Linked DNA regions of Caenorhabditis elegans. The protein of the gene in region 1 purifies or fractionates together with the protein of each later gene. This does not show direct contact. Each region holds a gene or a part of one and is shown on either strand. Other genes may lie near its edges. The genes, in order: mrps-5 and H25P19.1.

Region 1 (6,686 bases):
AAAACGGAAACCGCGTTTTAGAATCCTTTAAACTTTTGAAAGGTAGCTGACTAAGAAGCTCGAGAAGATGATATATGGCTATTAATTTTGATAGGGTATACAAATAACCACAAAAGATATCCAAAAGTTAAAGTGATGAGCTCAATATAATAAAAGTCATAAATAACGAGGTTACTGTGTTTTGAAGTGGTTAAGACGTCACTGAATCTTTTCCATTCATCTGAAGTTTTTTGATGACTTGAGACTATCAGCTATTAGGCTACAAGGAAAACAAAGAAGCGTTCTCATTCACAAGTAGCAATTTCGTCTAGTCTGACCACCCACTCAATTTCGTAATTTTGAGTCATCATCCTAAACCTTAAGGAAAGGTTATGATCACGAACACATTCTTATCATCCATTCCCTCCCTCCTGCTCATTCATTTTCTCTTCCAGCTTAATTCTTTCCTAAGCCCCGCCCACTTTCCTACAAGCCCTCCCCTTGCGATTCAGCCTTCCTCTTAAAGAAAGCAACGTCGCCTCTCCTTTGCCCATTTTTTCTAAAGTACTTTCCTCAAATTTCTTTAAAATTTATTTGAGTTTTTTTAAAATTTATTTAAATTTATTCATATATAGTTTTTTCTAGGTAACACACAAAGTGCAGATAAAATGCTTACAAAAGTGATCATTGCAATCAGCATTATCGTTTTACACACAGCTCTTGGAGCAGTGATTCGAGAATCACCAGAAGGTACGGTATTCTTTTATTTTATTTTATAAACTGTTCCCTAGAAATTGAAACCAAAGTTCTAAGAACCGCCACATTGGCGAACTGGTTCAAATTTCTGCAGAGTAATCCAATACTTTCCTTTTGAATTATTAGTAATACATTGCACCACCACCTGATTTCAATAGGTGTAGGTGGAAATGAAGCACTTCATTCAGCACGTACCTAAGATTCCAAGGCAAAATATTTGTTTTTGCGTAAATTACCCGTATGGATTTATCACGTCTATAGTATATCCTTTTGTTCTTCCTTATTAGTTTGGCTTTTCCAGATTAAAGGATTATGGTTTGGTAATCTTTTGATGGAAAAAAGGAGAAGAAAAATGAAATCAAGGAAATAATGGTGGCGGGAAAAGATTAGTTCAGTCCCGTGCAGTTATTGATGTCTAGAGACTACATAGGGGGCTAAATTTCAGTTCTAACAGTAGTTAGGAAAAATATAAGTAGATGCAGGATTCAATTCATGTTTTTTTTTCAGAATTCATCGCTGTCGATTGTTCGACTCTAAACGAATGTAATGGAAACTGGGGATGTGTGGAATACTTGATGAGTCTCTATCGACTTGACTGTGTCACAGGACCGGGTAGGAATTTCTTTTTTTTTGTTCTTAAATATTGGGCAAAATTTTCATAACTTTTGTTATCGGAAACTCGCAATTATCAGTTATTTATTTGGATGGGTCTGGTATGGAGAAAAAGTTTTTGTACCATTTTCGATGTTTTTGGAACTTCGTTGTCTTGAAAAGCGCCACCGTGATGAAATATAATCTGCCCACTGTGAGACCCATCCAAAAAAATACGTGCACCTTTATTTGCGTGTTTCTGAAAGTTGTAAAGTTACGATATCACTATTGCAACCGAACTTCTCTTGTTGATTCATTGAGAGTTTTTCCCAAGATGTGTAAGCAAAAGTACATCTAACCCAGCCCTACTGTACCTACTGAAAATTCAAAATCCCGAGAAATAACATTTGTTTTTGTCTATAGTCAATGTGTATTGCACACTTCAATTGCGTAAATAATCGTCGCATAAATTATGAAAATCAGAATTAGTTAATATATTGCTCACTGATGATGACCGCTTGTTCAAAACGAAAACAAAAAGTTGATTCAATTTTGTTCCAAACTTTTGTTTTAGTATATTCCAGTCTTGTGACATGTTTCAATGATCACCTCTCATCTAGTCGACTGATCAACCACCCCCGGAGAGAATAATGAAAAGAGGAAGCTATTTTCAAAAAAATAAAGACAATTGTCTTTTGAATAAATTATAAGTATTTATTAGTGGATTAAGGTTCTTTTCTGGACACTGTGACGAAATTTGGAGAGTCTTAATGTGACAAATATGTGATGTGATATGGAAAATAAATATATTTTCATGAGTTCCATATTCTTATAATTTTTGATTTCAGTCTCCAAAAAGTCTCCTTTCGTCAATGGCGGTGGCAAACGCGGTGGAATGAAAAATCTTCAAAAAATCTTCTTGGGAAGCTACATGACAAAACTTCGTTGATTTGAATCTCGAAATCAAGTCTGAAAATATCCATCTGAAATTTTCACCACTACCTCCCTCACCATAAACTTTCCATCCGATCCCCCTCTTAACCGCATTCCTGCAAGACTTAGCTTTTTACTTTTTGACTCCACGTGGCCAAATAAAAAGTGCCACGTGGCATTGTTCCTAGCTGGCCGCATATCACTTTATTCTTGCTGACTATGTCTCTCTCGTTCTACTCTTCTCAAGCACTCTCTCATTACACGTTGGAGAACATTGAAAATAAAATAATTTCTGTGTTAGCCTGTCTTGTAGAGTATAAGCTCACAAAACACGAATTAAAAAACATCTGCAAGTGACAAGTGCAATTAGAAAAAGGAAAAATCAATCCAGCTTTACTAAAGTTTCATCTGCTCTGAAAATGGCTCGACTTAAGTCCAGTTTTCGTGTACAGCTCAGGCTGCATTTGAAGCCAAATGTCGATTTTACAGCTGTCGTAATTCCAGAAAGGTAGGTATTTTGTAGCGATATAGGTCTCAGAAAATTTTTATCGATGAGAAAAAATTATAAAGAATAACAAAACGAACAAAGAAAGCAAACCTGGAAAACAATTTAAAGACTTCCTTCTAGAGCTACTGAATAAAGAAAACGAGAAAAAGAAACAGTAATTGAATAGCCTAGTCATCCTTTTTGGGAACCACATGCGAGAGTCCGATACCGAGTGGCATTGGTTCGACACCCGTTGTCATTCGTTCATTTCTTTGATCCGCCCACGCAGCACGAGCATCACGAGTCCAACGTGGAACCATGTTATCGGCAATCAGGCGAATCATAGTCTGAAAATTTTATTTTTCAATTAAAGTTGTACATTATCACTTCTAACCGATTCCTGATTTCTGAAAGGATGTTTCCTCCATCTGGCATCCAAATGACCTTCGAGGTTGGAAAAGAATGGAAGAGATTTCGGCTTTCTTAATGGATACCGTCCTTCACCATAGAAGTCATCAAGATTCAGGCGCTGGAAAATATAAATTTGAAAATGTTCTTGGAAATCCAAACTAGTATTACATCAAGTGCTTCTAAAGTTTCCTCGGTCTTGAGTTCAGTGGAAATCGGTGACGCCACAATTTGGGGTAAGAAATGACGAGATGGGGACATTTCAACGACATGAAGACCTGAAATAATTCGAAATTCCAGTTGATTACGGAAGTATGAGAAGAGGAATTATGAGAAATCTATCAGCAATCCCAGGAAGAAGACCCACAAAGTCTGAAGAACGAACCGATGTTTTTTGCATGTATTTATAGAAAAATGAGAGCTTATGAATATAATTAAATGAAAAATTATTAAAAGGACTTATCAAGTTTGATTTGAGAAGAAAATTTTGAGCAAGCTCTTAAAGAAAACAAAAACAATTTTTGTTGGCATTTTTACAAAGACTTTGACAAAATGTGGTTTTCAGTGGGTTTAATGATTTTTTTTCTAAAAAAAATCTAAAGTAAGTAAAACCAAAATAGTTTTTTTTTGCAAATTTCAATTTGGCCCGTATTTTTATTTTTGGTCCCAGCTCTGGCTCGTACAGATGGCACGACCCTCTGATGGCTGTTACAAAGATACATCCAGCTACAGTAATATTCCAGTACCACGGGAATATTACTTTATGTGATTATAACTTTTATTTCTAAACACTAATATTTAGCAAAAAATAATAAATGTTCTTTTCTAAAATACAAGTTTTGGTTTACGTCTTTCAAAGAGTTTAAATTTAATGTTACATATGTTATTTAATTGGTTTTTTTTTAGAATTTTGCTTTTTTTTACCTTTTCGTTCGGCCAGTTGTTGATGAGTCTCTTGGTTGAGGAGTCCAGTGACAAATGCATGAGTCAATGCCAAATAGTTTTTCGTGGATCCTTCAACTTTCACGTAAATATCCTTGATACCGATAGCCTCACAAATTTTGATCAGTCTGGGATGGCATGTAAGACCGAATCCACGTGGGCGACGTTGTGCAAATACTCGAGTGTTACGGCATTCAGCATAAAAGTCCTGATAAATCGTACGTCCTTCATGAAGTTCAACGTGGAATAGCTTTCTGGATGCCATTCCCATTCCATTAATGATAGCTGTAGTGGTACGATGAATTGGTGCTTTTCCAACAGCATATCCAGCAAGTCCTCGTCCATTTCCAGTAACAACTAGTGCTGACATTGTGTGAACTCTTCCAAATACATTTGTCATGTTAGAAGTACGCTTAACCTCTAAACAATAAGTTTCAAAATCATCGAAATTCACACCATCGAGTGGTGGTGGTGCACCAAGTTTCTGTCCGACAAGTTGTGTTCCAGAGAATCCACGCTCCATCGGATGCAGTTTTTCACGGTTGCGCTTCTTTTTTCCACTAAAAAACGGAATTATGTGTGAAAATGAAAAATCATAAAATAAGTACTCACGTATCTCGTTCTTCGAGAATTTTCTTGGTTCCACCCATTGAATCTCGAATTTCATCTTCCGTCTGTTCAGCAATTGACATCAAATTTTGATTTTCTGTCTCTCTCATTCTGATTGGAGCATTCAGGCCAGCAAATTCGATTTTCATTGGACCTGAAAAATAATTCCAAACCATTCACTTTTACAAATATTTCACATACTGGATCCAATTCGATAAAATCGATTGAGAGGTCTAACTGGTTGTCTTGTGTTACGACGTCCTTTCTTCTGACCAGATTTTGAAACGGAGGTTAATGTTTTCCACAGTTCTGGACCAGATCTTCTCATAAAGAAGTTCACCGTATTGCTACGGGTCTGGACAAATGGCAAAAGTGATGCCATCTAAAATAAAACAGAGTTCGTAAAAAAGTTAAGTTTTGAATTCATAAAATACGAATCGGACTCTTATCAAACCGAATCGAAATAGAAGAAGAAAAAAAGGATTGAAATAAAATTTGTTTTAAACTCAAAGTGTATGAGAATACCGTACATCAGAAAAAAACCGATTTTTTACTAAAAAATCGGCAAGTAAATCACACGAAATGAGGAATTCTAATTGGACCATCTAACAGAGAAAAGAAACACGAACACAAAAGAAGGCAAATGTTTGATGATTAGAAGGGACAGCGTAGACCCGAGTAGGCTGATGTGAATATTACAACTATTAAAAGAAGGCGCGGAATGTGCTTAACTGGGCAGGGAAGATAATTAAATAAATTACAGGGATGTGGCATTTTGTTTTTCATTTTTTACATTTGGAGAGAATCGTATCAATTATCATTTTGTCGGTGCCTCCAGAACAAGAATAATGGAACCAATGCAGAAACGGTCATCAAAATAGCATCCCATCGTGGTCCAACGGTTTTCTCCATAAAACTGATTAATGGCAGCTTGTTGAGCTCTTCCAAATAGAAGACAAAAGCTAGTTTTGCTAATGCTAATTTCGACGGCATGTATGCATCCTGACTATGCTCAATTGCTTGATCGTAGAAACGTTTAGCCAGGTAAAGATCCCGAGTGATTCCTTCGCCAACTTCGTGCATATATCCCAAATTGAACATTGCTTGAGCAACACCGTGTCTATCGACTGCCATTTTATAGTTTGAGAACGCCAAACTGTGGTCAACTTCTGTACCGAGACCATAATAGTAGTAATCACCAAGTTTCACGCGAGCAGCAGCATATTCTACAAATTATTAATTCTAGAATAAGTTAAAAATTTTTAATAATAATTACCTTGATTTGCAGATCTTTGCCAATTGAGGAACGCTCTTTCCATATTGTTATCTTTCGGTCCCGAGAACAATGACGTCGCTTCTCCACGATCCAAAATATAGGCTAGATTAGTTTGAGCAACTTCATAGCCAAGTTCAGCCATGAATAAATATTTCATTGCGGCCTCATCAACTCGATTATCTTTATATGCGCTATGGGCTTCCATCAATCGTTCTCCCCATTTTCCTCGTTCGGCTACAGATTTGAAAAGATCAACCGCGTGGGAACATGAACGTGGAACTCCCGTTCCAGCAGCGTGCATTTGAGCAAGATTATAGTAGGCAAGAATATGTCCATTTTGAGAAGCAAGCTGGTAAAGTTTCACAGATTTCTTGAAATCTCGATGCACTCCTTTGTTGGTTGGAACACCTTCTGAAAATAAATATATTTTGTATTAAAAATAAAAATGAACAGCTAAGTATAAAAACTCACTGTAATGTAATTCTGCTAAATACATTTGTCCATCGGCGTTCTTCTTATCAGCCGACAATGTCAGCAACTTCAAAGCCTTTTCGTAATTCTTCTTGACTCCTTTTCCTTTCATATACATTGCTCCCAATACAGCCTGTGCACTAGGACTAGATTTATCAGCTGATTTCATCAAATATTCGAATGATTTTTGATAATCTTTTGGCGTAAACGGAGTTCCATCCAAATACATTTTTC
Region 2 (6,685 bases), about 12 Mb from region 1:
CTGTATTGCTGCAAAAATTCTACTCGACTATGACGTCATGATGTTTTTGGACGCCGACATCGGTGTAGTCAATCCGAAGCGAAAAATCGAAGAATTCATCGAAAAAAGAGTTAATGTCATATTTTACGACCGGTTTCAGAATTGGGAAATTGCCACGGGGTCGTATATTGCGAGGAATACAAAATTTTCAGTGGATTTGCTGAACGGTAAGTTTTCTAATAATTTTACGTAGGCACAAAAAGGATGCCTACCTGGTGCCTACTGCCTAATCTTATTGAATTTGAGTTCACGCCAAAGCTGTAAAAATAGGCCGTAGGCAGCTTATTTTGCCTGTCTGTATTAAATTTTTTTAGAGTTTGCAAACTATGAAGTACGACTACCTAAGAGCCTTCACGGCTCCGATAATGGAGCTATCCATGTAAGCAATCCTCGATGCACCATAACGAATTTCTTCCATTTCAGATGTTCCTCGCTGAAAAACTAACACCAAAATCTTCTCCAAAACTCGAAAAGTGCCGAAAATTTTACGAAAAATCAAAAAGCTACGAAGACCTGTTCACATTCGAGGCATGTATTCGTGATTTGCTAGGAGATTCTATAGATTTCGGGAAAATCCGAATTTTGGAAAAAGGAACAAGCTGGGTGAGAGACGGATGGCTCACGAAAAGTCAATGGCACCCGGGAATTGATTTTATGTTGCATGGATGGAAATCTTGGCAGTTGAGGGGAATCCCGCAAAATGGACTGAGGTTTTTAGAAAAGAAATATATCTAGTTAAGGAAAAATATATATTTCTAGACCACTTCCAATTTCAAAAAATCGGTGGTATAGCCCGTTTTCTGGAAATTTTGACCTGGAAAAATGCAAACCTGGAAATGTTACATGGAATTACGATTTGAGGGTGCTTGGCAATAAAGAGGAAATTTTGCAAACCTTGAAAAAAATTCGGGTCGACATTGAAATAATGAAAAGGAAATCATTTGCAAGACTCGACGGAGATTATTGAAATACATTTGTTTTTTTCTTAACAAGGAAAGTAAGTCAATCTAGTCCCGGACTTTAAATCGAGACGTATGTCATTTGAAAGCTTATGTTTAGACTAGATCACCACAAAAATTTCAGCGGCGGAACTCAACTCTGAACCCCTGAAATCGCCATCTGAAAGTGCTCCAGTGCATTTTTTTCGCTGATTTCTATGTCAAGTAAATGGCCTTAAAAGGGGTTCTGAGCGATTAGAAATTGTTTTTAGGGGGTTTTAGGGTCTAACAAACAATGTGGAAGCTTTTTGGAAATTTTTATTTTTTTGAAAGAATCTGAGTGTCTAATGGATCGAAAAAAATTCAGATTTTTTCAAAAAAATAAAAATTTCCAAAAAGCTTCCACATTGTTTGTTAGACCCTAAAACCCCCTAAAAACAATTTCTAATCGCTCAGAACCCCTTTTAAGGCCATTTACTTGACATAGAAATCAGCGAAAAAATGCACTGGAGCACTTTCAGATGGCGATTTCAGGGGTTCAGAGTTGAGTTCCGCCGCTGAAATTTTTGTGGTGATCTAGTCTAAACATAAGCTTTCGAATGACATACGTCTCGATTTAATGTCCGGGACTAGATTGACTTACTTTCCTTGTAAGTTTTATAAATTTTATATTACAGAAACACAAAATTCTGAGAATGCGTATTGGACAACATAATTGACGCGCAAAATATCTCGTAGCGAAAACTACAGTAACCCATTAAAAGACTGATGTAGCGCTTGTGTCGATTTACGAGAATTTTCTTATGTTTTGCTTTTTTTTAAAATATTCTTTTGAGAAATAAATGATCGAGCCCTTAAATCGCCATCAGCGCTACAGTAGACATTTACAGAATTACTGTAGTTTTCGCTACGAGATATTTTGCGCGTCAAATATGTTGTACGCATTTTCTAAATTTTGTGTTCTCGTAAAACTTAAAGGCGCACAATTTTTTCAAATGGGTCTCGGCGCGAAAAAACGTTATTGTGCTTTTTCCCTCATTTTCCTTACATTTTTCAATAAAATCACTTGGTTTTAGATAATTTTGTCGTTTTTTTTTTCAAATATTTTTATTGAAAATCGGTTTAAATCAGTTTTTCAAGTACAAATAAACTTTTTTAATATTTAAAAAACGTTTTTTTTTCGATTCTAAAGTTCAAAGTTGACCTGAAAATCCATAATTTAACTTTTATTTATATGGTATACGGTATGCAATGAGAACTGTGCAAACACGGAAGCCGCGTACTTTTCCATTTACCGTAGTAAAACAGTTTTTTTCATTTTCAATAATTTTTTTCGCATTTATTCCTTCTTTCCTCAAACAAACATCCATGTTCTCCCGTTGTCAGTCGTTTTCCGTTCTTCTCCGCCTGCGTCTCTTTGCCTCTCTCCCCGCACTTTTCTTTTTCATTTATTTTTCATTTCGCTGGCAGTTTTTCGGCATTGACTCACAATTTTTCGAATTTTTCTTATCGATTTATAATTTTTAATTAATAAATATACACTTTCACACTACTTTCAAATAAAAATATATAATTTCCAGATATAATCTCCCCAAAAAAATCGATAAAAATGAGAAGAGGAGCCCAGCCGCCGCCGGCTGAAGACGTGGAAAAATGCGAGGAAGACGATTGCAAAAAGAGATTTTTGAAGAAACGAACAAAGCGAAATGCTGATAATACTTATCATCCAAGTCATAATAAGAAGTAAATTCGAAGAATAAAATAATAAATTTAAAAAAACCAACCTTAAAATTTTCAGATCTACCGCAGAAATTCCGGATTTTCGAACAAGCGCCGTCTCTGAAAGGGATAATGAAACAATTTTAATGCTTCCACCAGTAGGAAATGTCGAAGAGCACGATATTGAGCAATTTAAGCGAGAAACATGTCATTTGCCAGAGGATGTGGTGAATTTTTATTTATTTTTCCTAAAAAAAAAGATTTTTGGGTGTCAGAATGTCCCATGTCGGTTTGATCTTCGAAAAATGCGGGAGTTGAGAGCTCGGAAAAAATTCCCGCATTTTTTGTAGATCACCACCCCGCCAATTTAATAATTTTCCCACTTCCAGGCATTCCGAATTCTCTCGTTCTACGAATATGATTTTGAAACTGCGACACGTGTCGCCTTGCAAATGGATGCTCCGGATTTGATGCCGGATTTTGCCAAGAAAATTATGATCGCGAATGCTCCGTTTGAAAGGGATGCAAAATCGCGGAAAAGGATGCACTACGAGGAATTTTATTTTACAAAAACTGTCAGTTTTCTGGAAAAAACTGAGAAAAAATGTGCAAAAAAAACAATTTTATCGGAAAAAAAAATTTGAAAATTTGAAAATTCCGAAAAAAAGGCCAAATTTTAGCTAAAATCTGAAATCTTCGCGTGTCGTCAATTTGCAGACTTTTTGAATGTTTTCTTAATGGCGCACGAATTTATTCAGACGGGTCTCGCCGCGCAAAAAAATTTTATGGTATTTTTTAACATATTTTTATACAAAAAAAACACTTTTGAACAAAAAAAACATTTTTAACAAAATAAGGAAAAAAAATTAGCAAAATTGTATAAAAAGATTGACCTTGAACAAAAAAAATTAAAAAAAAAACGATTTTGAACAGAAAAATGAAAAAAAAAACAATTTTTAGAAAAAAAAACAATTTTAAACAGAAAAGATCTTGAACAGAAAAAAACAGTTTTGTACTGGAAAAAAAATTGAAAAAAAAATTGCAAAAAATGTAAAAAAGATGGATTTTGAACCGAAAATTAAAAAAAAACAATTTTGAACAAAAAAAATTAAAAAGAAATATGAAAAGAAAAAATGAGAAAAAATATTTAAAAAAAAAAACATGTTTTTTTAAAAATTAAAAAGAAAAATCAGAAAAACTACCATAATTTTTTTGCGCGCCGAGACCCAACTAAATAAATCCATGCGTCTTTAAGAACGCATGCCAAAATCCTGCGAAATTTCGATAATAAATTTAAAATTGATTTCCAATGGAAAAATTTGAGATTTTTAACAAAACTCGTCGACTTTTGCACATTTTGAGTCTACACTAGTGTTTTAAAATTTTTTTTTTCAATCAAAAAATTAAGAAAAATTATTTCTTATTCAGTTCCGAAAAGGAGTGGACACAAAAACGCTGGTCAATTTCTACTATAAAGAAAAAAACAAATTGTGCGGAAATTGGCGCCTCGAGACCCCAGATCGCCTGGTTACTCCTGAAGATAAGCAGAGGCTGGAAGAGAAAATGAAGGCCAGTAATATCACAATTTATCAGTGAGTTTTTGAAAAAAATTAAATTTAAAAAGAAATATTGAATTCCAGGCAAGACCCAAAAAAGCAGACGCGTGCTCAGAAGGCCATGTCAACTCGCCTAGCGAATCTACGTGGTAGTAGAGGAGGACAGGAAACGGATCTGAACAACGATTCGGACACCACCTCGGTGAACAGCGCTCAAGAATCCACGAATGGAACTCCGATGCCGGAGCCGGAGCCATCACGACCACCACGCATCAACTTGAAATTCCGATTCACTCCGTCAAAACTCGGAACAGCGACGCCGGGCATTTCGATCATTTCCTCGCCGACTCCACCGAAATCTCCGCCGAAATCCACCCCGCGAACTTCAAAATCGACGCCACCGAAGCGCCCATACCTAAAGCGATCTCTCGAGCAGGCCCGCGGCGGAGCCCAGAAGTCCTATCCGGCCCGAACGCGACGCTCGACGAACATCTTTGAATAATTCCCCATCTCAACTCTCACTTTTTTGCCGGTTGTGTAATATTTATTCTAACGTGATTTTTGTTGTGTCACTTTCTCATATTTTGTGTTGTTTTTTTAATAGTATAATAAATATTATTTATTTTGAGACAAAAAATTTGAAAAAAAAAAATCTAAAAATACGCATTGTGCAACATATTTCACGCGCAAAATATCTCGTAGCGGAAACTACAGTAATTCTTTAAATGACTACTGTAGTGTCGATTTACGGGCTCGGTTTTCAAAATGAATTTCTTTTTGAATTTTTTCCTGCATTCCTCCGTATTATTTTCCAATTTTCTGATTAATTTTAATATTCTATTGATAAATCCGTAAATCGACACAAGTAGCCCTACAGTAGTCATTTAAAGAACTACTGTAGTTTTCGCTATGAGATATATTTTGGTGTCCATTATTACCGATACAGAGCGTGTAGATAGTGAGAGAGTGGCAGACATCCGGGTCCCAAAGGGGCGGGGCGCGCGGAAGAGACGATTTGTGTCGATTTACGGAATGTTGTCAACGGGAAAAATTTCGTAAATCGACACAAATCGTCTCTTCCGCGCGCCCCGCCCCTTTGGGACCCGGATGTCTGCCACTCTCTCACTATCTACACGCTCTGTATCGGTAATATATTGTTTCATTCTCAAAATTGTGTGTTACCGTAGTAAAACGTGATATTTCAATTTTCGTTAAATTCATTCCAAAATGAAAACCTACTTTATAACCAATCAGTGTCGTCTCACTCCGCCCACTTCTTCTGATTGGTTGAAAAGTTGGTGGAGCAAGTCGCTGATTGGTCGCAGTTCAAATTTTGGAGAAAATCACTGGAAAAATAGGCGGAGTTTCGAGACAAAAAGACGATACTTCAAAAGTTGAAAATTCGCAAAATATAATTCGCGCGTTTGTTTTTTGTGGTATTTCTGAATTTGAGACTGCTTGAAATTTTTTTAAACGCAAAATCTTAAAAAATTATTATGGTCCCTCTCGAACTCCAATCGATCGAAATGGCTGGTGAATTTTTTTTGGAACAAATCGTAGTGCAACGTGGCGGATCGGAGCGACACTTGATGCATTCGTCGCGTTTGCCAAACTGACGTCTTGAAAGGATGGTTCAGGCTTCATAAATTTTAGAATGCGAAGAATGGATTGCAGTTTTTGAGGCTTTAAGTTTTCCTGGACCTACAAAATTATTTTTAAATTGCATTTTAAATTAAATCAATTATCTCACCTCGCTATTGAATCCCAAATAAATTATTGCATTGGAAGTGCAATTCAATGTGTAAAACATTGGAATCAACACAAACCACTCGATTCCATGATTTGCGATGATTAGGGGCAGAATTCGGAACAGGGACCATGCGCAGATGTAAAATATCAGAAGAAGGCAGAATTGGAAGGCGTATCTGAGAGAATAAGCTTTTACGAAAGGCTCGGCCCGTGGAGCGCACCCCACTGAAATACCCTATACAAGTGTGTCCCACCGATAAATACATACGCTCCGCCTTAAAAGGTTGGGTCTCGTTAGGTAGTCGCGTCAAAGCCGTCTATTTAACAATCTTATGCCAAAGTTTAAAAAACACGATATTTTCATCTTAAAACTCATCAAAAATCGACTGAAAATATATAACAACTTTCCTAATGAGACTCAACTTTTGTCGACGGAGCGCGTTTGCACCTCGATTTCAAAAAGCGCGCTTTTAAGCGGAAGGCTTACTTGACATCTCGCTCCCTCCGTAATTTTTGCTCTTCACCAGTTGATGAGTTGGGCGTCGATTTGTGAACTGTCCAGAATATCTAAAAACTATTTGTTTCGAAACATTCTTTTTGTGAAAGTAGACAAAAATAACTCAAAAAACTCACCATAACGTAGAAAAACGCCGAAACCACAGAGCTGAGAGCGTTTAAAGGAAC

What was found.
Region 2: the proteins of mrps-5 (region 1) and H25P19.1 fractionate together in Caenorhabditis elegans (co-fractionation; one large-scale study listed by BioGRID). This does not show direct contact.

What each region holds. Positions count from the first base shown.
Region 1 is NC_003283.11:12,561,888-12,568,573, reverse strand, and holds mrps-5 (Small ribosomal subunit protein uS5m), read right to left. Parts: upstream 5,088-6,686; coding exon 4,907-5,087; intron 4,860-4,906; coding exon 4,709-4,859; intron 4,657-4,708; coding exon 4,079-4,656; intron 3,433-4,078; coding exon 3,326-3,432; intron 3,276-3,325; coding exon 3,141-3,275; intron 3,094-3,140; coding exon 2,935-3,093; 3' UTR 2,773-2,934; downstream 1-2,772. Other genes in the region: nssp-66 (uncharacterized protein), read left to right, coding at 648-729, 1,243-1,347, 2,175-2,275; sel-1 (S5 DRBM domain-containing protein), read right to left, coding at 5,516-5,931, 5,982-6,392, 6,453-6,686.
Region 2 is NC_003283.11:685,129-691,813, forward strand, and holds H25P19.1 (CUE domain-containing protein), read left to right. Parts: upstream 1-2,555; 5' UTR 2,556-2,586; coding exon 2,587-2,720; intron 2,721-2,775; coding exon 2,776-2,923; intron 2,924-3,085; coding exon 3,086-3,271; intron 3,272-4,124; coding exon 4,125-4,288; intron 4,289-4,336; coding exon 4,337-4,754; 3' UTR 4,755-4,904; downstream 4,905-6,685. Other genes in the region: F31F4.1 (Nucleotide-diphospho-sugar transferase domain-containing protein), read left to right, coding at 1-206, 354-418, 463-749, 799-1,006; srx-4 (G-protein coupled receptors family 1 profile domain-containing protein), read right to left, coding at 5,747-5,953, 6,003-6,177, 6,489-6,568, 6,635-6,685.